Pelodiscus sinensis: one gene and its partners. The protein of the gene in region 2 purifies or fractionates together with the protein of the main gene of each other region. This does not show direct contact. Links are inferred from orthologs where the notes say so. Each region holds a gene or a part of one and is shown on either strand. Other genes may lie near its edges.

Evidence for each region. The genes of interacting proteins can lie anywhere in the genome.
Region 1: the proteins of PEX5 (region 2) and PECR purify together in Homo sapiens (affinity purification with mass spectrometry; 3 studies listed by BioGRID, with this or other methods). This does not show direct contact. The link is inferred for Pelodiscus sinensis from reciprocal best matches to the Homo sapiens genes PEX5 and PECR.
Region 3: the proteins of PEX5 (region 2) and ACOX1 purify together in Homo sapiens (affinity purification with mass spectrometry; 3 studies listed by BioGRID, with this or other methods). This does not show direct contact. The link is inferred for Pelodiscus sinensis from reciprocal best matches to the Homo sapiens genes PEX5 and ACOX1.

What each region holds. Positions count from the first base shown.
Region 1 is NC_134717.1:3,124,995-3,132,871, reverse strand, and holds the start of PECR (peroxisomal trans-2-enoyl-CoA reductase), read right to left. Parts: upstream 3,247-7,877; 5' UTR 3,222-3,246; coding exon 3,092-3,221; intron 1-3,091. UniProt on the Homo sapiens protein: Participates in chain elongation of fatty acids. Catalyzes the reduction of trans-2-enoyl-CoAs of varying chain lengths from 6:1 to 16:1, having maximum activity with 10:1 CoA. Has no 2,4-dienoyl-CoA reductase activity.
Region 2 is NC_134711.1:137,879,455-137,887,037, forward strand, and holds the start of PEX5 (peroxisomal biogenesis factor 5), read right to left. Parts: upstream 3,030-7,583; 5' UTR 2,833-3,029; intron 2,519-2,832; 5' UTR 2,477-2,518; coding exon 2,327-2,476; intron 1,893-2,326; coding exon 1,857-1,892; intron 1,677-1,856; coding exon 1,544-1,676; intron 1,334-1,543; coding exon 1,199-1,333; intron 1-1,198.
Region 3 is NC_134730.1:10,989,983-10,997,295, forward strand, and holds the start of ACOX1 (peroxisomal acyl-coenzyme A oxidase 1), read left to right. Parts: upstream 1-4,067; 5' UTR 4,068-4,247; coding exon 4,248-4,356; intron 4,357-5,693; coding exon 5,694-5,853; intron 5,854-7,313. UniProt on the Homo sapiens protein: Involved in the initial and rate-limiting step of peroxisomal beta-oxidation of straight-chain saturated and unsaturated very-long-chain fatty acids.

The DNA.
Region 1 (7,877 bases), on a different chromosome or scaffold from region 2:
TTTCTGTGGAGGTTCACCAGGGGTGAATTTGACTTCTCATTATTTCCTGACCTTAACGCCAAGGGAAATACACCAGCGGCATGCCCCTAGAAATGAGTATTTTGGTGAGCTGATGTTTTGTCTTATGCTACCAGAGTTAAATGTCCTGCCTGTTAACACAGGAATTCCTAGCATTTTCACAATAACCTGACCAAAAGAGTCAAGTTATTCATGAATTTTGAGGACAGCTTAGAACAGTAGAGTTCAAAGTCTTGTCCCACCAGAAGCGGCACTTCTGATAACCAATTAACAGGTAATGCTAATTCAACAAGTAGTATTAAAGAAAGATGAGCCAATGAACAAAAGCTAACAAAAATACTAATTCTTTGTATAACCGTATATATAAATATCACATGGTATTTTATGAAAACTAACATATTCAAAGTACTTAAATCCTTCTTTTTATACTGAACATAAGAACGGCCATACTGGGTTAGACCAAAGGTCCATCTAGCCCAGTAGCCTGTCTTCTGACAGTAGCCAATGCCAGGTGCCCCAGAGAGAACGAACAGAAAAGGTAAATATCAAGTCATCCATCCCTTATTGCCCATTTCCAGCTTCTGACAAACAAAGGCTAGGGACACCTTACTGCCTTAATAAAAACGTTTTTGTTTAATAATAAACCTAGTGCAAATAAATTGTTACCTGGGATGTGGGGGAGCACAGCTGTACATCTCTCATTGATAAACAGGGTGAACATATTAAAGAGCTTACTGTGCATAACTTATTTTATAAAAGATGGATTTATTAGGAAGTTTGGTTCCTTTTGAGGGCTCTGCTTTTGGGTGCTGTCAAGATCCTATAACTGATCCCTCCCAGACCTGAGCTGGTTCAACATCTGTGTTACTCATCACTCACTAGCATGTACGGACTTCTGCCTGCCCCCCTCACCCTACTGCCTCTCTATCAGAGGCAGCAGGAGGGGAGAGAAGAGGGGAAATACAGAGGCAGCTGGAGGTGGAGAATGCGAATGCATGTAGTCGACAGGATTAACTGATATGACCAGGCTTATTGGTTAACCATGTAGTTATCTACACATTGACATTCCTTGTCACAAGAGGATCTCTGTGATCCAACCCATCACACAAGGTGTATTAGATTTCAGCCTGGACCTATACAAAACCTTGGGCTCATGTCCTGATTAAGAGCACATATGTTGCCAACTACATAGACCAGAAATCAACAACACTGGAAAAGTTGCTATACCAAGATTTCAGCTGATGAAAAGTATTAGAGGCTTCATTCTACAAATTCTATACTATCAGGCAGTATGCTAACTACCAAGACTGTACGTACTGATATCTGTGAATATATTCACAATAATAGGGACTACACCCACTAATAAGCATTTCAGGGCCAAATCCTAGATCTCTAACGTACGTTCCATAATATCAGCTTTGAAATACTGTGGAAACGTTGCAAAAGGGCTTAACCATGGATTACTACAAACATATCAGGGACAAATAAAACGTTCCAAGCAGGGGTCCTCGACCTGTGCCAACAAAATGCTTATTGTAACATTAAGACACTTTGACATGACCATTTATTTACGAGGCATGCTTTTTCTCCGGGTTTAGAGCAGGGATGTCAACGTGTAGTCAATTACATGATTAACTGATAAACCTGGTCTTATGGGTTAGTCCTATCTACTACATGCACTTCCCGGGCTTGCTGCCTTGCTATCAGATGCAGTCCGGGGGAGGGGGGACAGGAGCCAATATGCTCAGGGAGCTGGCTTCTAGGCTAGCTCCCCATGTGTGCCAGCTGCTGTGGAGCCACCGGCCCCCGCCTTGATGCCTCCCACAGAGGCAGTGTGGGGGAAGCCAGCACACATGGGGAGCTGACTCCATGCTCCCACCTACCTTCCCTCACCCCATGCTGTCACCTCCTACAAAGCCACAGGGTGGCTTTCAAATCATCTCCCTGTGCATATACACTCCCTGGAGCTGCCTGTCCCCCGTGCTGCTGACTTTTTAAAGCGATGGACTGGGGAGAGGGGGCGCAGAATCAAGAAGTGCTTGTGCCAGTTACAAAGTAAGAGATTGTTAAATTGGTGCAACTTTATTCAAACACATCCAAATGTCAGGACAAATGTGTTTGTCTTCTGCTGCATCACCTAAGGCTCAGAGCTTATTATAGGATAATCCAGGTGAGTATTTTGAGGAGAGGCCTGGAAGGATAAGTGAAGCACAAGAGGTGATTAAGTACATCGCTAACCTCCCACTGGCACACTCCCAGTACCCAGTGGAAAGTCAGGTGATCTGGTTTCAGTCCCTACTTCTGACACAAGTTTGCCATGGAATCTTAGGCAAGTTACTTAGTCATGTTCTGTGCCTCAGTTTCCCCCATCTTTGCATTATGAACCTAAATTAGAGGGTGATGAGACGCTGAAGATTTTCTTATAAAGCATCTCTGACAGAACGGGCCTGGGTGCCTTCTTTGCACACCCGCCCCAAAGGTCCCCACTCCTTTCTCCCCCAGGTCCATCTTGTGCACCAACTATTTAGCGTGACACTCTATCCCTTCTGCCCCACCTCCTCAGCTGAGTGCTTCCCCCCACATCTCCTTTCTGCTCCCCTTACACCCCGTCCAACGGCTGCCCCCTCCCTCCCCACACCCCTCTCTTCCAACGGCTCCCTCGCCCCCTCCCCTCCCTTCCGTCCGTCCAACGGCTGCCCCCTCCCCTGATCCCCCCCATCCAACGGCTCCCTAGCCCCACCCCCGTCCAACGACTACCCCCTCCCTCCCCTCTCTCCCAACAGCTCCCTCACCCCCAACAGCTCCCTCTCCCCCTCCCTTCCGTCCAACGGCTCCCCCCCCAACGGCTGCCCCCTCCCTCCCCTCACCTCTCCCTCCCAACGGCTCCCTCCAACGGCCCCCTCCCTCCCAACGGCTCCCCCCTCCCTCCCCTCACCTCTCCCTCCCAACGGCCCCCTCCCTCCCCTCGTCTCTCCCTCCCAACGGCTCCCTCACCCTCCCTTCCGTCCGTCCAACGGCTCCCCCCAACGGCTGCCCCCTGCCCTGAGCCCCCCGCCCAGCGGCCCCTGCCCACCTAGGCCCAGCAGGTCGGCGCTGATGGCCTTGCCGATGCCGGTGCCGCCGCCGGTCACGATGGCCACGCGGTTGCGGAAGAGCCCGGCGGCCAGGACCCTGCAGCAGCCGCCGCCGCCCGGAGCCGCCATCGCCGCACCCTGGGGCCCCGGCCTCCCACGTGACCCCGCCGCGCCCCGCCCCCGGCCTCAGACAGCGCCAGGGGCTGGGGGCGGCGGAGAGAGCAGCGGCCAGCGCCCGCCCCGGACACTGGGGAGGCAGGAGCATCGCCCCCCCCGCCCCATTGCAGAGCAGCTGGGGCAGGAGCATCGCCCCCCCCGCCCCATTGCAGAGCAGCTGGGGCAGGAGCATCGCCCCCCCCCGCCCCATTGCAGAGCAGCTGGGGCAGGAGCATCGCCCCCCCCCCCGCCCCATTGCAGAGCAGCTGGGGCAGGAGCATCGCCCCCCCGCCCCATTGCAGAGCAGCTGGGGCAGGAGCATCGCCCCCCCCGCCCCATTGCAGAGCAGCTGGGGCAGGAGCATCGCCCCCCCCTCCCCATTGCAGAGCAGCTGGGGCAGGAGCATCGCCCCCCCCCCGCCCCATTGCAGAGCAGCTGGGGCAGGAGCATCGCCCCCCCCCGCCCCATTGCAGAGCAGCTGGGGCAGGAGCATCGCCCCCCCCCCCGCCCCATTGCAGAGCAGCTGGGGCAGGAGCATCGCCCCCCCCCGCCCCATTGCAGAGCAGCTGGGGCAGGAGCATCGCCCCCCCCCCCATTGCAGAGCAGCTGCCCCTCCTTTGCAGAGCAGGAGCATCGCCCCATTGCAGAGCAGCTTCCCCCCCCCCCCTTTGCAGAGCAGCTGGGGCAGGAGCTTCGCCCCCCCGCCCCATTGCACAGCAGCTGACCCCCTCCCTTTGCAGAGCAGCTGGGGGCAGGAGCATCGCCCCCCACCGCATTGCAGCCCCCCTCGCCTCCATTGTAGGGTCAGGGACATGTACCGCTCTCTGCAGACTCCACCCTCGTTCCCTTTGCAGACCAGCTGGAGACACAAGCGTCCTACCCCACGCAGACCTAACTGAGAAGGGCAGCAGGTAAGTTTGATCTAATGTCAGGTGATTTAGCTGCATTTGGCTTAATGTAAGGGGGGCTGACTACTCCCCCCGGCACCTTGGAAATTCCCAGGTAGATGAGAGTAGGGGGGAGGCAGCTGCACAAGACTCCCCCCCCCCGCCCCCGTTGTCAATGGTGCTGTGCTTTTAAATGCAGGGGAGGAGGGGGCGAGGCACCACACCTACAAACTCCAGCTGCAGTGGGCGATCTCTTCCCAGCAAGGGCGCACGTCCCACCTTGTTCCCAATGAATTGTTTTACCGGGTTAAACGTACAGACCCGAGCGGGTAATGGCTTAGTTATATGCGGGTGAAGTCTGGAGCCTCGCAGTCCTGCGGGAGGGCACCGGGCATGCACCGAGACGTTTCACCTTGCCGAGATGTAAGATTCCTTCCTTCCATGCAGGCACCTCGGAGAAGGGGGCATTCTTGCATGCGTGGTGGAGAGGGACTTCGCCTCCCAGGCATATGTGCCTGTGACCGTACCTTGCAGGCAGGCAGGTTGGAGAAAAGTTCCCCCATTGCATGAATAGGGTTGCCAGATGGTTTCTCCTAAAATACCACACTCCAAAAAAAAGCGCCAGGGAAATTTTTGTTGAGCCAAAAAAAAACCCAAAAACAAACCCACCCCAGGAAAAATGTTTGTTGAGGGGGGAAAAAAGTCATTAGCTGTCCAGTATTTTCTCAATTTCTTTACCGGACAGAAGGTGCAAATACCGGACTAGCTGGGTCAATCCTGGACACGTGGCAACCCTATGCATGAATTCCATGTACCTAAGTGGCTGAGCAAATTTTAGGCTGAAGGAAAGGCATTTTTAGCCTGTTCTCAAAAACAAATGGGTCTCCCACTTTGAATACAGCAAAACCTGACCAGCTCTGCACAGCAACAAATAGAAGGGGGCTCAGGAAACAGCCCTATTCTCCTGGGCACTGGGCAGGGCTGTGCAAAGGACTGGAGAAGTAGTCTCTTTCTGCCTCTGAAATAAATGGGATTTCTTTCCATGCATTAGTGACAGGTTACAAGAGGTAAAGAAATACTGACTACTAATGGCATTTGCTATCTTTTCCAAAATTGTGGTCTAGTCCAGGTCACTCAGATGTGCTTTATTGAGGGAGCTGGGGATAGTTACTTGCTTTATTGAATGGAATAAAGAGACTTGATCAGCTGTGCACGTTTTCTGGTTGGCAACAAACAGGTTCCATCCGCAGATGAGACTGCAGTTGTCTCAGGAAGTAGGGCAAATCTGCCCAGCCTTCCCCTTTTATTTTTCCCCACCCTTGCTGTCTGATCTATTCTTAGCACATTCCTCCCCCTTTGAAACCCATGGATTCCTGCCCACTCCCTTTGAAGAGGAAATAGGTTATTCATAAAATAAAATAAAATAATAATAAAATAATAAAAGGAATTATCTTTACATGCATGTATATTCCCTCTTAAAACAAAGAAAGGTTTTTAGAAGAGAAATCCTGCCAAACCTCGGCTTTGTTTTGTTTTTAAACCTTACTAACCATAAAATAAAATGCATTGCTCTGAAATTGTATTTTCTTGAAGCTTTATCCTTAAATGACCTTCTCTTTTTGAATAATTCTTGAGAATTTTGCAAAGCCTTCACCATCAGATATAAATTGCTCACCAGAAAAATCAGGGCATTTATGTTGTGTCTTTAAAAGGATATTTTATCTCCATTTATCTTATAACTCCTTACATATGGGATCATTCATACACATCCCATGCACTTATCAATCTATAGCTTTCTCCAAGCAAATACCTTGCCTCCCCCAGCCCTACCTTCACTGACTGCCCATGCTCCTGCTTCCCAAACACCTCAGCCCCACCCCAGAGCTTGTCTCCCCAGCCGAAGCCCCTCCTCCACCCCCCATACCTCAACCCCAGCACAGTGAAAGTGAGTGAGGGTGGGAGAGAGAGCAAGCTACAGAGGCGGGGGTGGGGAGGGGATTGAGCAAGTGGAGGTAGGGTCGCTGCGAATAAGTGGGGCATAGAGGCAGGCCCGGGGTGTTTGGTTTTGTGCATAGAAAATTGGCAACTAGGGATGTTAAGCAGCGTTTAATTGGCTAATCGAGTAGTGGATGGAATTTCCATCAATTGGCTAATCGAATAGTCCATGCAATTTGCATCAACTATTCGATTCGTCCAGGGGTTCTCAAACTTTGTGATACCGCGACCCCCTAAAATGCTAAATGAATTCATGTAACAAGAAGAAGGTGATCGGAGAGGGTGTGCGGCCACTACTGGATGAAGATGTAACCTAGTGACAGATGCTGTGGGGAAAGCTGAAGTACTCAATGCTTTCTTTGCCTCTGTATTCACGGACAAGGTGGGCTCCCGGACTAATGCGCTAAGTGACACAAGATGGGATGAAGGTGGACAGCCTATGGTGGGTAAAGAACAAGTCGTGCCTGACCAACCTGATTAGCTTCTATGATGAGGTAACTGGCTCTGTGGACGTGGGAAAGTCAGTGGATGTGATATACCTTGATTTTAGCAAGGCTTTTGATACAGTCTCCCACAATATTCTTGCCAGCAAGTTAAGGGAATGTGAATTGGATAAATGGACGGTGAGATGGATAGAAAGATGGCTAGAAGGCCGGGCCCAGCGGGTAGTGATCAATGGCTCGGTGTCAGGATGGCGGTCGGTTTCTAGTGGAGTGCCCCAAGGTTCGGTTCTAGCACCGGTTTTGTTTAATATCTTTATTAATGACCTGGATGAGGGGATGGATTGCACCCTCAGCAAGTTTGCGGATGACACTAAGCTAGGGGGAGAGGTGGATACACTGGAGGGCAGAGATAGCGTCCAGAGTGACTTAGACAAATTGGAGGATTGGGCCACAAGAAATCTGATGAGGTTCAACAAGGACAAATGCAGAGTCCTGCACTTGGGACAGAAGAATCCCAAGCATAGTTACAAGCTGGGGACCAACCAGTTAAGTAGTAGTTCTGCAGAAAAGGACCTGGGGGTTACAGTGGATGAGAAGCTGGATATGAGTCAACAGTGTGCCCTTGTAGCCAAGAAGGCTAATGGCATATTAGGTTGCATTAAGAGGAGCATTGCCAGCAAATCCAGAGATGTCATTATTCCCCTTTATTCAGCTTTGGTGAGGCCACATCTGGAGTATTGTGTCCAGTTCTGGGCCCCCCACTACAAAAAGGATGTGGACGCATTGGAGAGGGTCCAGCGGTGGGCAACCAAAATGATTAGGAGGCTGGAGCATATGACTTATGAGGAGAGGCTGAGGGAGTTGGGTCTGTTTAGTCTGCAGAAGAGAAGAGTGAGGGGGGATTTGATAGCAGCCTTCAACTTCCTGAAGGGAGGTTCCAAAGAGGATGGAGAGAGGCTGTTCTCAGTAGTGACAGATGGCAGGACAAGGAGCAATGGTCTCAAGTTGTGGTGGGAGAGATCCAGGTTGGATCTTAGGAAAAACTATTTCAGTAGGAGGGTGGTGAAGCACTGGAATGGGTTACCTAGGGAAGTAGTGGAGTCTCCATCCCTAGAGGTGTTTAAGTCTTGGCTTGACAAAACCCTGGCTGGGTTGATTTAGTTGAGATTGGTCCTGCCTAGAGCAGGGGGCTGGACTTGGTGACCTTCTGAGGTCTCTTCCAGCTCTATGGTTCTATGATTCTATGTTCTATGATCTGAGACACGCGAACATTTGCAATAGAAGCCAAGCCCAACTATTGGTAA
Region 2 (7,583 bases):
AACTACCAATTTTCTTTTTTAAAGGAAATCTTGGACAACAGCAAACTGGGTTGCTGTTTGCAATGAAGAATTCATTTTCCTGATGCAAATTTCTAGCTCTTCATCAGAGCCTGTCAAAGATCATCATAAATGTTAATTAGATGCCTGTCTCCAACAGGTATATGAAAGAAATAAATATGGATGGTTGCACGGATCAGTGAAAAGCAGCCCCCTCGGGGGTGGGGCATAGCAGCTATTTAACTGCTGCCCAACAGTTTAATGTAGGGATTCAGTTGGTTGAAGTGGAGGGATCTGGAGCAGACTACAGTCCATATCACACCACCTATATGCTGTATAGCCTTGGGCAACTCTTCCCCACCTGGTGCAACAAGCTGGTGCAAATCTCTCAGGACACTCTTATTTCAGTCAAAGGGCATTGTTACGGATGTTAAATATCAGTTACTTGATTAGTCGATTAACCTCATGAATTCTTATCAGTTAGTCAGCTACTCTAGAGTCCCTGGGCAGCCCCTGTCCAGTGGGGGAGGGGTCTGAGCTCCTGGACTCAGCACGAGCCAGAACTGAGACAGGCTGCCTGCTCCTAATACACTTTAAATGCAGAGGCACAGCAGGAGTAGGTCCAGGACCCAGTGCAAGCCAGGACTGAACTGGGATGCTGTCCAACCTGCTAAAAAATGTGCTGGCAAGGGGGGGGGGGGGGGCAGAAATGCATGTAGTCTATAGCAGTGGTGCACAACCTGTGGGTCGCAGATGTCTTTCCAGGGGGGTCGTGGTGCTTAGATCTGGCCGGCCAGGGGGTGGGCCCAGCAGTTGGTGGCCTCCGCAGTACAGGGGTGACAGATCAAAAAAGGTTGCACACCACTGGTCTATAGCATTAACCTATTAGCTTTTGCTTATCAGTTAAGCGACTACACTATTACATCCCTAGCGTGGATGCTGGTGGCTTGTGATGTGCAGGACCTCAGACTAACTGATCTGGTAGTCCCCTCGGGCCTTAAACACGGACTCTAGATCAGAGTAATTTCACCCCGCATACTGTACCAGTGTGACCCACTGAGGCACGTGCTGCTTGTGCAAAGTGCCCTGAGCACTGTCTGGAGTGTCTCTCTCACATAACAGACAACTCCTACATGGGAGAACAGAGTAGGACATACTACCAGGCAACACACCACCCAATCTACACAAGAGGAGCCTTCACCTGTCACCTCTGCAATGAACTCTTGTGACCAATCAGCTTCATTGTAATCTGCAGAGACATCAGCTGTGGTATCTCCTGTCGCCAGAAATTCCTGGGCCCAGTTCTCAGACAGAGCCAGGGCTGCCACACCTGGAGCTAGGGACAGCAAGAGATGGGGGAGAGTTCAGTGACAAGCCCCAAGTGCCACACCCCCACAAGGATTAAATTCTTGTCTCTTAATCTACAGACACCCCTTGCTCTAGCTAAGCAGGCTTTTTAAATTCAGTCCCCCTCCAGACATACCACCTCACGGGGAGGTGTAGGTAGGGGTTGCAGAAGCCCCAAACTCTATCTCCACCACCTCACCTCGTTGCGGGGCTTGGCGGAAGCTTGACTGCTCAATCTCCTGCATCTCAGCCAGCAGATCATCCATTTTAAAGGTGTGTGGGGCACGGGAGAGTAGGGGGGCATTCTGTTCTTGTAGGAATTCTGCAGCCAGCTGTCAGGGAGAGAGAAAGAGTGGGTGAGGGGGAATACCCAGCAGAGACTCTGGGACAGAAAACAGGAGAAAGAGAAGGGAGGACAAAAACCAGAGAATGAGAGATGGAAAGAGTGAAGAGGAATCAAGAAAATGTGGCAGTAAGAAAGGTGATATGGAGAGCAATACAGTTATTCTTACCTCATCTTCAGAGGCCACTCCCAAAGGTTTGGAGACCTGTGGGAAAAGTAGGCAAACAATCACCCCAGCGGTGGGACCTTGCCTACAGCATCAGTCACCCATTATGATGGGAATGATATGACACCCCCCACACATAGCAGGACCAAAATCCCACCTAGGCAGACCCACTCTATGGGTGAGGCAGCCACCATATCTCCCCTTTCTGGGCAGACCTCTGCTGTGACTGGACATACATCCCCTCACCACCACCACCACTACTACTTTAACTAGTGATTCCACAAGCAGCCTCCACAACAGGGATAGGGCAACCAGACTCCCTGCCTCCCCACTCCCACCTGCTCTGATAGCCTCCCCTGTACTCAGACCCTCACTCCTCCTCCCCCCCAGTGCATCCCTGACCCTCACTGATCCAGGACCCCGCCTCACAGGAGCTGGCAGAAGGACCCTCCACCCCATGCCCTGGTACTCACTGTCTCTGCCCCAAGACCTGCAGGCGGCCAGGCCGAGGAACCCTGCAGACCCTCCTGCCGCAGGGCCTTGTCCTGGGTGAAGTGGCCAGCCAGCTTCATCAGGGGGTTGGAGCCCCCACACTCTGGCTCCACCAGCTCCCTCATGGCCATGGTGGGGGTAGGGGCGCTGCACCCGCAGGACCCTCACCCCGTCTGGGGGAGACAAACACAAAGCTCACGTGACCGCAGGGCTCTGGGGCGGTGCTCGCTCAGCACCCACCTGCCCCGTGAGCAAGCTGCGGGGGCCACCCGAGCGGGCGCAGCCCCGGCGGCCGAGCGGAGGGCAGGGGCGGCATGGCCAAGGCCCTTCCCCGGCAGCGCCCGCAGCCTGGCGCGAGCGGAGCGGCCGGAGGGAAGCGCTGGGGCTGCCACGGGCCAGGACAGAGGGGGGGCCTCGCGCCCCCCCCCCCGGCTCTTCCTCTCCCCCCGCGCTCGGGCACCTGCAACCCGCCCGCCCCCCTCGCTACCTGGCGCCCCGGCGGCCCCTGCAGCGCAGCCCGCACCGCGCACCGAGCAGCAGGGGGCGGGGCGCGCGCTTAAAGAGACAGGCACCGCGCTCCTCGCCGCGGCCCGGCGCAGGGGAGGCATCGCCGGCCTGAGGAGCCAGGGAACAGCCCAGCCGGGCTCGCGTGTAGCCCAGTGTCCCCCCAGGAGCGAGGTTTCAAAGGCCACAACTGGGCTCTTAAAGGGCCACGCAGCCCGAGACGTGCCCCACCCGCCTGCGCCGCTCCGGCGGCTCTTAAAGGAGCAGGCCGCCAAGAGAGCATCCCGGGGCCCGCCAGGGCTTAGCCTGCCGCAGAGCTGAGCAGCACGCTCTGAAAGGGCGAGGCGCCCGACAGGGACTCCAGGGGCTCCACGCCTGTTCAGGACACGTCTCCACTAGGCAGAAAGGGGGATTGGAAGCGTGTGTGTGTGTGTGTGTGTGTGTGTGTGTGTGTGTGTGTGTGTGTGTGTGTGTGTGTGTGTGTGTGTGTGTGTGTGTGTGTGTGTGTGTGTGTGTGTGTGTGTGTGTGTGTGTGTGTGTGTGTGTGTGTGTGTGTGTGTGTGTGTGTGTGTGTGTGTGTGTGTGTGTGTGTGTGTGTGTGTAGCCAAGGCAGTTGTAATTCTAGCACACTGGCTGATCAGGGTAAGCGGGGTGAGGGAAGCCAGCCTGCCTTTCCTAGTGAAAATAAGACTTAAGACAGGCCAGGGCCAATTGCCAAATCAGAGCATTATCAATAAGTTAGTGAAGTGCTAGGTCTAGGTGTCTTGAGAGGCCACCCCTGCATGCTCTTACAGGACCAGATACCATGGCTACGTCTAGACTGGCATGATTTTCCGGAAATGCTTTTAACGGAAAAGTTTGGCACAGACGCTTTTCCGCAAAAGCACTTTTTGCGGAAAAGCGTCTGTGCCAATCTAGACGCGCTTTTCCACAAAACCCGATCGCCATTTTCGCGATCGGGGCTTTTTTGTGCAAAACAAATCTCAGCTGTCTACACTGGCCCTTTTGCGCAAAAGGACTTTTGCCCGAACGGGAACAGCATAGTATTTCCGCAAGAAGCACTGATTTTTTACAGTAGGAAGTCAGTGCTTTTGCAGAAATTCAAGCAGCCAGTATAGACAGCTGGCAAGTTTTTCCGGAAAAGCGGCTGATTTTCTGGAAAAACTGGCCAGTCTAGACACAGCCCATGTGTAATGGTCAGTGTCGACAGCCCCTCCATCAGAAGGTATCCTTTATTTAAATTCTTGACTTGCTTTCATATGATGTTGTTGTACAAGGCGTTCCCGCTATAAGTCACCCTGGTATACATCCGTTCCACACTAAAGTTGTTGACGCTTATAGGAACTGATACATTATAAGTCCTTCCATTCCCTGCTCTTAAGTCATGCAAAAAAAAATTTTTTGCATAAATGAAAGTCAGCCGCGGGAGAAAAAAATTCCCCGTTTTAAGTTTTGCTATAAGTCCAAGGTTTTTTTGGAACGTATCTTGGACTTATAGTGAGGATGGCCTGTATCCAATCTGGTCTGGAGTCTAAGAAGAAATTAAGTGCAGCTTGTGTGTGCTGGTGTTTTACTTGCAGTTTCCTGATAAATGCTCTAATAAGTAAGACAGTATTACACATGTTACAATAACAGAAGAAGCTGTCTATTGGTCAGAGCAGTGTTTCCCAATTGGTGCTCCGCGGAACCCCAGGGTTCCACAAAGCAAAAGAAAGGGTTCCGTGAGAATGTGGCACTCCCCTGTCCTCTCTTAAAGACACAGTCTATTTTGCAGCTTTTTTTATTTATTTATTTATTTTTTGCTCGACCAGTTCTGGTGGATCTTTATTTATTTATTTATTTATTTCTTAACACATTTTACTCTGGTAACCCTAGGGGTTCCTTGAAATTCTTTTAAGCTGAAAAGGGCTCCGTGGCCAAATAAAATTGGGAAACGCTGGGTCAGAGGATCAGATCGGGAGATCAATCAGTACATGGAGTTCTGAAAGTGACAGGTAAATTGAGGGGGCAAGACCAAAGAACTCTAAAGAGCTAAGCACCATTTGAGAACAAAACCCTCAGAAAACACTATGTGATATTCTTAATCACTGCACACAGAAGGTCCAGTGCTGAAGGAAGGAATCACAATTGTGCAGTGAATGAAGCTGTTCGTAAGATCCCTGCCATTTTTTCCCCGAAGTTAGAAGACATTTAAATAGGGTTTCCATATTTGAACTTTCAAAAAGAGGACACCCCGAGAGGGAATATATCTGTATTATATTATATTATATTATATTATATTATATTATATTATATTATATTATATTATATTATATTATATTATATTATATTATATTATATTATATTAATGTAACACATTGGTAGATACTGATACAGATACATTCCCTCTTAGGGGTGTCCTCTTTTTTGAACATTCAAATATGATAACCCTACATTTAAAGATTATGAGGAAGGACGGGCTGCAAAAAGAGACAAGATGGTCTTGTGGCTTAGGCAAGTTAATACTGTAGAGGAGAGCTCAGTCCCACCCCTGCTTCTGCCTCAAGCTTCCTATATGATGTTGGGCAAGTTACTTAAACCAGAATATTATCAGGTGGCCACTAACAGTGCATTCCTTATTTTCTGAATGCCCAAATTTAGATAGGCCAGCTTGGAGCCTGATTCATAGTAGTGCTGAGTGCTCACAAGATCAATGGGAGTTGTGGGCATATGGAACATCTGGCACTGGCAGTAATACTGTGTGGTTTGGAGACATGTGCACAGACTGGGTAATTAAGAAATGTCTGAGTTCTAATTCTTGTTTTGCCATTGATACGCTTTGTGACCTCAGGCTCAGGCAAGTCTCAATCTCAGCTTCCCCATCTTTAAATTGGGAATAATGGTGCTTTCTTATTTCATAGTATAAATGTGGAGAGCTTTTTATTAGTATTTGTGAGGCTCAGCTACTATACAGATGAGCACAAAAATACATAAGGAAATAAATAAGAATAAATAATGCATGACAGGGGTGGTGTGCATTAAATAAGAGAAAGGGACACATCGTAAAAGATGAAGGAAAATAAGAAATATTGAACAGTTGCCTCTTTCCCATTATTGCTAACCCCACGTGTTCAAAAGTCATGACATTTTAAAAATAATAAATGCAAGGTGTGGGGGTTGTTTGCTTTCTGTTTTTTTGAGCCTTTCTTGGAATTTGTGAAAGGAAGGTATTGAGGCCTACCCAGAATATGTCAAATGAGCACCAGTTTAAATGTAAGTGTAAAGGAAAGGCAGCATCGTGAGATACAGGAGATGTAAAATAAAAACAAAATTTGATTGGATGACCAACAATAACCCCGCTTTTAGGGAAGTAAGTAACTCAGACGGCAGTATGCAACAAAGTGCTGATTACCCCAAATGGAGCAGACGAAAGTTTTTGTAAGGGCAGAATGAGACAACAAAAATCTAACATCAGCAATTGTCAGGCGAGTGGAGGAGTACCAAAATACCGAAACAGGGTATATAAGGTTGGATGGAACAGACCAAGAGTGGACGGGTTGCGAATCCAAAAAGCTAGGTCTGATCAACCAGAGCTCCCTCCCCGGCGCTGAATCTCGCTGCTGCACATAAGCTCCGAAAGGGGAACAACACCGGTCGTAAGTTGCAACAAAAAATCCAAAAAAAGGAAAAACATAAAGAAAAGAATACCTCCTGAATCTAAGCAATGCTTCTATCTTTCTTAATGTAAGTATTATATATTTGTTAACTCCATAAATTGTTTAAAGGTAAATCAGGAGGGTATATCTGTACGAGAAGTTATTATTTCTTGTTTTTTTTAAACTGTACTGTTTTTCTGCTTTTTCTTTGTATATTATATTGTCTTAAAAGAATAAAAAATAGTGAATTGATTTACATTGAAAATTAATTATAAAGTAAATAGAAAAAATAAAAAATCTTTGTTTGACCTTAAAAAGAAGTATTCCTCTGTCTGTGGTTTCAAATTCTTTAAAGAACCAAACCCGGTTACTGAAATAATTGCTGTCAAGATTGTCTTCACAACTATGAGGGTTAGAAACTTAATTTTTAAAATGAAAGCTGAGATTCTCATGTAATGAATGACTCCCAGAGCTGAGCTTTAAGAAAATACACCAAATATCATGAAACCTGTGATGTAATCATGAATTGGCAACACTTCATTCACTATGCACCGCTCCACTGAAAGAGACAGTAGTTTTGTGGTAAAAACACAAGACTTTAAAAATGGTATCTTAATGTTGCACAGAGAACCTTAATTCTGATCATCCTAACTTTTCAATGCTTGATATTATGACCTAAATAATGTTCTTTTGGCAAAGTTTATTTGCATGTAATCTACATAGTTGTGTATATGTAGACAGTCAATTTAAACAGCTCCATTGAAGTCTATAGATTCCGTAAAGTTATTATCTTTCTATACATTTTAGAAATGTGTCTGTCTGTCCATCTGTGAGCCTGTTTGTTCAAGAACTCCTCCTAAACATTAATAGAGATGTAGCCATGTTAGTCTGGTCTTGCTGAAACAAAAGACAGGACTATGTAGCACTTTAAAGACTAACAAGATGGTTTATTAGGTGATGAGTTTTCGTGGGCCAGACTTTTTTTGATTGTATCCCTTTGGTATATATGGTCATGCCAATTTTCTTCCACAATTTGATCTGAGGAAGTGAGTCTGGCCCACGAAAGCTCATCACCTAATAAACCATCTTGTTAGTCTTT
Region 3 (7,313 bases), on a different chromosome or scaffold from region 2:
AAGGACACCAAGAAGGGAAAAACCTAAGATCCTATGCCAGCCATGTGGAAGTCCTCTGAGTGATTTCAAGTGCCTAACTCAGTTAGTGATAGAAATGTAGCCGTGTTAGTCTGGTGTAGCTGAAACAAAATACAGGACTATGTAGCACTTTAAAGACTAACAATATGGTTTATTAGATGATGAGCTGAGGAAATATTTGATCTGAGGAAGTGGGTCTGGCCCACGAAAGCTCATCATCTAATAAACTGTCTTGTTAGTCTTTAAAGTGCTACATAGTCCTGTATTTTGTTTTAACTCAGTTAGGCATTTCTGTCTATATTTTCCAGGAATTCTAGTTGCTGACTAAGGTTATGGCTACACTACAGTTTTTGCAGAAAAATGGCCATTTTTCTTCAAAAACTTATGTAGCGTCCACACTTCAAGCACATTTTTGCACAAGAGAATCGAAAGAATAGAGGCATTTTTGCGCAATTGGTATTCCTCTTTCTACAAGGAAGAACGCCTTTTTGCAAAACAGTTCTTTCACAAAAAGGTGTGTGTGGATGGGGAAGAGGGGGTTTTTTTGCGCAAAAAGAGGAAAGAGGAAAAAGCACAGGTTCTCTGGTGGCCATTCTGTGCATACCAATCGGAGTTTACTTTCTAGAGAGCGTCCATGCAGTCTGGACACTCTCTTTCACAAAAGCGCATCGCTTTTTCGATGTGCTTTTGCAGTGTGGATGCATTCTTGCACAAGAAGTTTTTGAGGAAGATGTCTTCCAACAAAAGCTTCTTGTGCAAAAAGCCTGCAGTCTAGACGTAGCCTCACATACCAAGAAACAACTGTCCTTCACTCACCTGTGTTTGCAGCATTAACTGCTGCTGTAGACAATACCTAACAGATCAGCAAGGTGTGTAGGTTCTTCTTTTGTTTGTAATGTTTTCCTTGTGGTGCTTTTTACCTTAGGAACAAAGTAAACTTGCATGGGAAGCACTGTGTGGTACCTTATAACTGTAGCCATTATACCTGTTAAACAGCTTTGAAGAGAAAGATTGCTTGGGCCAGTTCAGGCAGCCTGGCTTTGCTGGGAATAACACTATGAAGGCAGGGAACTGTTCAGCTTGGACATGCCCCAATCAAGAGGGCAATGAGGGTGGATGATGAACACATGTGCATCTGCCCTGATCTGTGACAAGCAACACACAGACTTTCTCTTGGGTGATGACCCAAATCCATCAGTTGACCACATCCTGAAACAAAGTACTCATTAGCAAGAAAGCAAATGTGCTTGTATACATGTTTTAAAGATTGTCACAGGTGTGTGGGTGTCTGTTTTGTAACTGGTTCCAGTCAAGCTTGTTGCAGAGTAGTTTTAAAACTGAACAATTTACTGGTAACTAGAATTATAGAACATGGTGCCATACTTAATGGTACCACAGTGCCTTTCAAATTCTAGGTATATACAGACTAAGACCAAGTGTGAAAGCTTTTTAAAGTGCACTCAGTCTGTCACAAATATGGGAGATTATCTTAAGTAGGTGGGAGGGTTAGTCACATCCTACAGTTAAAATAATTAATTGGGAAATAGACTAAAAGGGTTGATCACAATAGATCTTTTGCGAAGAAGACCTTGGTGAATTGGCATGTAAGTAACTTACAAATTATTTTCAGATCTATCTGGAGATGACTTTCCTCTGAGCTAACAGCACTAGAGTTGATAACCAATTAGCATGAGTGAGAATCCTTAGGGATTCTGTCAAATCTAAACAGTCTGACCTTTCCAAATTAGTAATTAGCAATGTGGTTTTCTAGTGTGGTTCTGTAATTTCATTCTGAAATCTAAATGGCTATTCTAACTCATTTTCTAATATAAACAGAATATATATAGTATTACCCCTATTTATACCTGTTGTGAATTTGACCTACAAATGGAGAACGAGGAGGCAGAACTGGTAGGTATGTGGGCAGAGAATCCATGAAGAAAGGATAGGTGGCATGAGTTCAGGAAAACAGGAGAGAGTGTATAACGGGATCCAGGGGGTTGTGTTCAAACACACTGCACATACAATACCTCTCCTTCCTCCCGCAAAAACAAAAACAAAACTGGGGACCACCTCACGGTGACAGCTTCAGGAACATTAGCCATTTACCTTGTGAACTTTAATCGAGCGCCTCAGTATGAGCTCCACTCATACTAAGGGGAGCTTAGCTAGCTCACCAGACAACCAGCAGAGCTGTTTCCTTCCACAGGGTTCCCCTTAGCTCACAGCTGATGCCCCATTCATTCCCCACCCTTTTGCCTCTGATTTCAATTGCATGAGAAGAGGACCTCAGAGTCCATGAACAAGGATCTCAGGGTCTTTGTGGGGTTTTTCACCCTCCTTTAGGATCTCTGTGATCCTCCCTCATTCTCTTGGGACCTTTGAGGGAGAGGTCATACAATGCACTGCCCCTTACCTCTCTATCCCTGCCTCCCAGGTACGTTTGGTCACACACAGACACCAGGAACATGGAAACCAGAGAGCTCTGTTCAGCTAAACCTCCTCCCCCAGCCTTCCCATGTGACTAAGCCAGGTCCCGACCACATGACTAGAAAAAGCTCAGCCCCCTCCTTTCCTAGTAGGGTGGCAGCTGCAAAGCCCTGCTGAGGCGCTTATGTCAGTGAATGACTGGGTAATCCGGGTTCTCCCTCCCAGAATGTCTGTCTCCCTTCACTACTCGTTCTGCTTTGTGCCAAGGATGTGTCGCTGCCTCTGGCTTTAATAGTTATTGGCACCTTCCCACATATTTCTGAAAATTCTATTACACGGGTTCATTGGCCCAAGGGTAATTGCAGTTCCAAAGGTAGGGGATTAGATATTTGTCTAAGGAGAAATCCAAGCTAGTAATTTATATTTAGTACCTATCCAGTGTTATGGAGCTAATGGAATGCACTTCTTTTGTTTCACCAGATATATTTATTTGTGTCGATTTTAAAATTAATTTGTGAAACAGTCTTCGGGAAGAGGTACCATTTTGGGCGGCCAGCGCACGGTACTGGGAGCTGTCTGGATTCTTTGTCCAGCTCTGATGCTAACTGGCGGTGGACCAGTCCATGCTCCTTTTGAATGTTTATCTTATTTAGTTTGAAAATTGATTTAGTTAAATCAATGAAGTTTTTGGTGGGAACACTCTTAAATCAGTTGATCACATTATATTTGTTTTGTAACTGCATTGCAGTGCCTAGCATAACAACGCCCAGCCCTGTTTGCACATTTGTGCTGTAGCTGTAATAAAAGCCCCGTGCAAATTTATGTTTCTGTTTTGTTTTGCTGCTATGGCTCTCAAGTTGTGCATGGGAACTCCCGTACTCTACGCAACGGCAGCCGGACTGCACTGCCAAAGCCCTAAAATGTTAGAGCGCAGCTGGCAATGCAGAGAACCCTATAGCTGTCCTGTAATTAACAGGACTGCACTAATTGTACCACAAAGCCCTGCAAGTGATATCAAAGTTCAAAACTCGAAGACTGCGAGATGCCTTTTGGAGGTACACCCAGCATCTGCTCAGGATGTACCTTGCATTTCACCTGCTAGTGCTACCCAGTGCTGCTGTGGCAGCCAGTTCCTTCGAGATGTAGCTGGAGGGGCTGTTTCCCCTCCTTGTCATTTTGTGACACGCAGCCTTTAAACCTCTGCGATGACCCCCGGAGCGCAACGTCTTTCTAATACACGCGGGGGTCCCCTCACAGGGGCTGTGGTCCCAACCTAACTCCAATGCTAAGATGCCATGAAAGCGGTGCCCGAGCTAAAGCAATTGTTTTACATTCATGACCCTAGGACTTGCCAAGCCCAGAGGGGCTGGAGCCCAGCCTTTGCGCCCATTCAGCGCTGCCTAGCTTGCTGCTTGGCCAGAGAGAGCCCTCTCCACCCTTGCAGCTTGCACGACAGGGCACGGGGAGGGGGCGGCAGGAACCCCTCTCCTGCATCCCCGCTCAGCCCGCCCCACCGCACAGAGCTAGAGTCCCAGCGGCCCACCCGGGGGAGGCCCTTTGCGCATGCGTAAGTCTCGCGCCGAGTTGAGGGGTAGACGGGCAGAGGGGGCGGGAAGTAAAGTGGCGTGTCGGTGATGCGTGACTCAGCCGCGCGCCCTCGCTCTCGGTCGCCGCCCTCCTGGTCACGTGCCAGACCAGGGGGCGGGGCGGGGCGGGGACCGCGGCTCGCCGCCCGGCTGCAGCCGCTGGGAGTCGGTGTGTGAGAGCGGGCCGGGGTCAGGACTCGGGCAGGCGCCGCCATGAACCAGGATCTGCGCAAGGAACGTGCCTCGGCCTCCTTCAACCCCGAGCTCCTCACCCACCTCCTGGATGGAGGCGCCGAGCGCACCCGCCGCCGCAGGGAAATCGGTGAGAGCCTCAGCCCCCTCCCCCACTGGCTCGGGGGGGCCCCCCTCCTCGCACCGAGGAGCCCCACTTCCCCTCCCCCCACTGGCTCGGGGGGGCCCCCTCCTCGCACCGCGGAGCCCCACTTCCCCTCCCCCCACTGGCTCGGGGGCCCCTCCCCGCACCGAGGAGCCCCACTTCCCCTCCCCCCACTGGCTCGGGGGCCCCTCCTCGCACCGAGGAGCCCCACTTCCCCTCCCCTCACTGGCTCGGGGGGCCCCCCCTCCTCGCACCGCGGAGCCCCACTTCCCCTCCCCCACTGGCTCGGGGGGGACCCCCCCTCGCACCGAGGAGCCCCACTTCCCCTCCCCCCACTGGCTCGGGGGGGCCCCCTCGCACCGAGGAGCCCCACTTTCCCTCCCCCACTGGCTCTGGGACCCCCGTTCCTCGTGCCACGTAGCCCCATTACCCCTCCCCCCGGCTCTTGGGGGGGGGGGGCCTTCCTCGTGCGACGGAGCCCCCGATGGTCCTGGGCCCCCCTCCGCGCCTGAAGATGGCGTACCTCCCCCATAAGCTCTCAGGGTACTCCCTCCTCACATGACAATCCTTCCTTCCCCTCCCCCCGGGCTCTGGGGAAACCCCTGTTCTCAATTTGGGGGTTCTCCTTCCCCCTTGCCTACTGTGAGAGCCCCACTGGCTCGGTCCTATTCCGGTGTGTGTACCCCAGGCAGCTCAATTAGAGGGTGTCCCCACCAGATGAGTTGAATCACATTTGGGGAACCCTCACTCCTGTCCCTACATAAGGGAAGGAGCCCCTAGGCCTTCATATTGCTTTTTCTTGCCCACCCCTACTTTATACACCTAGAGGCCCCTTATGGAAAGGAGGATCTAGTAGTTAGGACACTACCTAAGACTTAGGAGACCTGGATTTGTTTCCTTGCAATGACACAGGCTTCCTTTGCGACCTTGAGCAAGATATTTAGCCTCTCTGTGCCTCAGTTTCCTGCTTGTAAAATGGACTAATGTAGCACTTCTCTACCTGACAGGGGTGTTACAAAACTAGATATGCCAAAAATTATGGTGCACAATAACACAATAGCAAGAATGATTTGTATACCTTAGTGCCTTGAAGTGCTAGACCAGTGACTTACTGACTAAAAGAGGCTTAAATGTACATTTAATGTGAAAATGATTTATTGCAAGATGTAATTGGAACTGAACTTTGTCACTTGCTTCAGATTTTTAGTACTGTATCTCAAGACTGGACATACTAATCCTTATAGTTTTACCCTTCCTCATGGGATGACTGGCTTGATTGCTTGACCCTTAATTCCTTTTCTGTTCTTCTGTTGTGCCCTCAGAAGCCTTAGTTCTGAATGATCCAGAATTCCAACATGAAGATTTAAATTTCCTCTCACGCAGCCAGCGATATGAGGTGGCCATCAGGAAGAGCGCCCTTATGGTGATGAGGCTAAGAGAGTATGGGATTGCAGATCCTGATGAAATCTACTGGTTTAAAAGGTACTGGACTCTGATGCAAAATAGATGCTAGAAGAAAATTCTTCTGCATTATCAATGAAATTACTTTTTTTCCTTTTAATCTTTTAAAGCGAACTAAGATCATGAGACACAGTCATTGAAGTCATGACTGCAGTGATCTTTGACTAAAGCCCTAATGCCCTAGATAAAATCTATTGGTTACAGTGTCTATTTCCTTAGATTCTTTTATTATCCAACTAAAAATGATAAAATCTTTAATGCCAATGATAGTAAAAATGTCCCTGAAACTGAAAACCTGGTTCTAAGTTAGCCTAAGGAATGAAATATTCTGACTTTTAATAAATGGCGTAAATTAGATCACTGTTCTTGGTGTCCTTCTGTGAAGCTCTATGAATAGAGCTATTGTCATAGCTGAAAAAGTTCAGAGTCAGTTTTCAGACAGAACAACACTTTTAGCCTTGAAATGTTTCTTTTTACCCAAATAAATTCTGACTTTCAGTTTAGCTGACCTTTTGCATTATCTAAGTTGGGGGAAAATCTTTGACAGTTGAATTAGACTAAGTTTAACTTGCCATGAACTTAGCCCTGAATATCATTAAGCACCTTTGACACAGGAAAAAACTTAGCTGAGAAATGTCTGATCTAGCTTTCAGTTAACTCCTTCAAATAAGGACTGCAAAGCTAGAATATCTAATAGCAGTGATTCTCAGACCTTTTGGCCCGTGGCCCACCCCACTCAATGCAGACTCTTTCATGAACCACCAGTCAATGTGACAAAATGGGTGAAGGAAGGGTGGAGGTGAGGTCTGGATGAGAGGTTGGTTGCAAGAGCAGTCTGAGGGTGGGAGGTGGAGTGCAGGAATCGGCTGAGGGTCAGAGGGAGGGTGCAGGAAGTGGGCAGGTCAAGGAAGGAGGGTGCAGAAGCAGGGTACAGGTGTAGGGTCTCGGAGGGAGTGGGAGGCATGAGGAGAATGAGGGGGAGGTGCTTACCTGGCTTTGCACTCCCCGCTGCATCCATTGGCCAGGATTCTGGCCAACGGGAGCTGTGGGTTAAGCCTCCAGGTTTCGTGAGCTGCTGTTCCACCAGCCATGGAAAGAGGGAGCAGCAGTGTGCAGAGCTGCTTTCTTCTTGCACAAGCCAGATAAAGCCTGCAAAATTCCTTTTCCTCTCCATCCTGCAGTGTGAAGCTGCCACTGGTATTCCAATCTCGTGAGGTGAAGGAAGGACTGTAGGACTAGTGCAGGTTCCCTGCTGCTTGAGGAGGACTGATAAGCCCCGAGTTCATGGCCCATCTTCAAGATGGTCAAGGACCACTAGTGGTCTGTGGATCTCTCTATGAGAACCACTGCCTAAGAGCAATGTACTGGGAGATATATTCAAAGTATGCATCTGATTGTACCTGCTTAGTACAACTCCTATTGAAATCCTGGAAAGGCTGGATTGGACAGATAAGTGAGGGCATCCTAATGCTGGGGGAAGC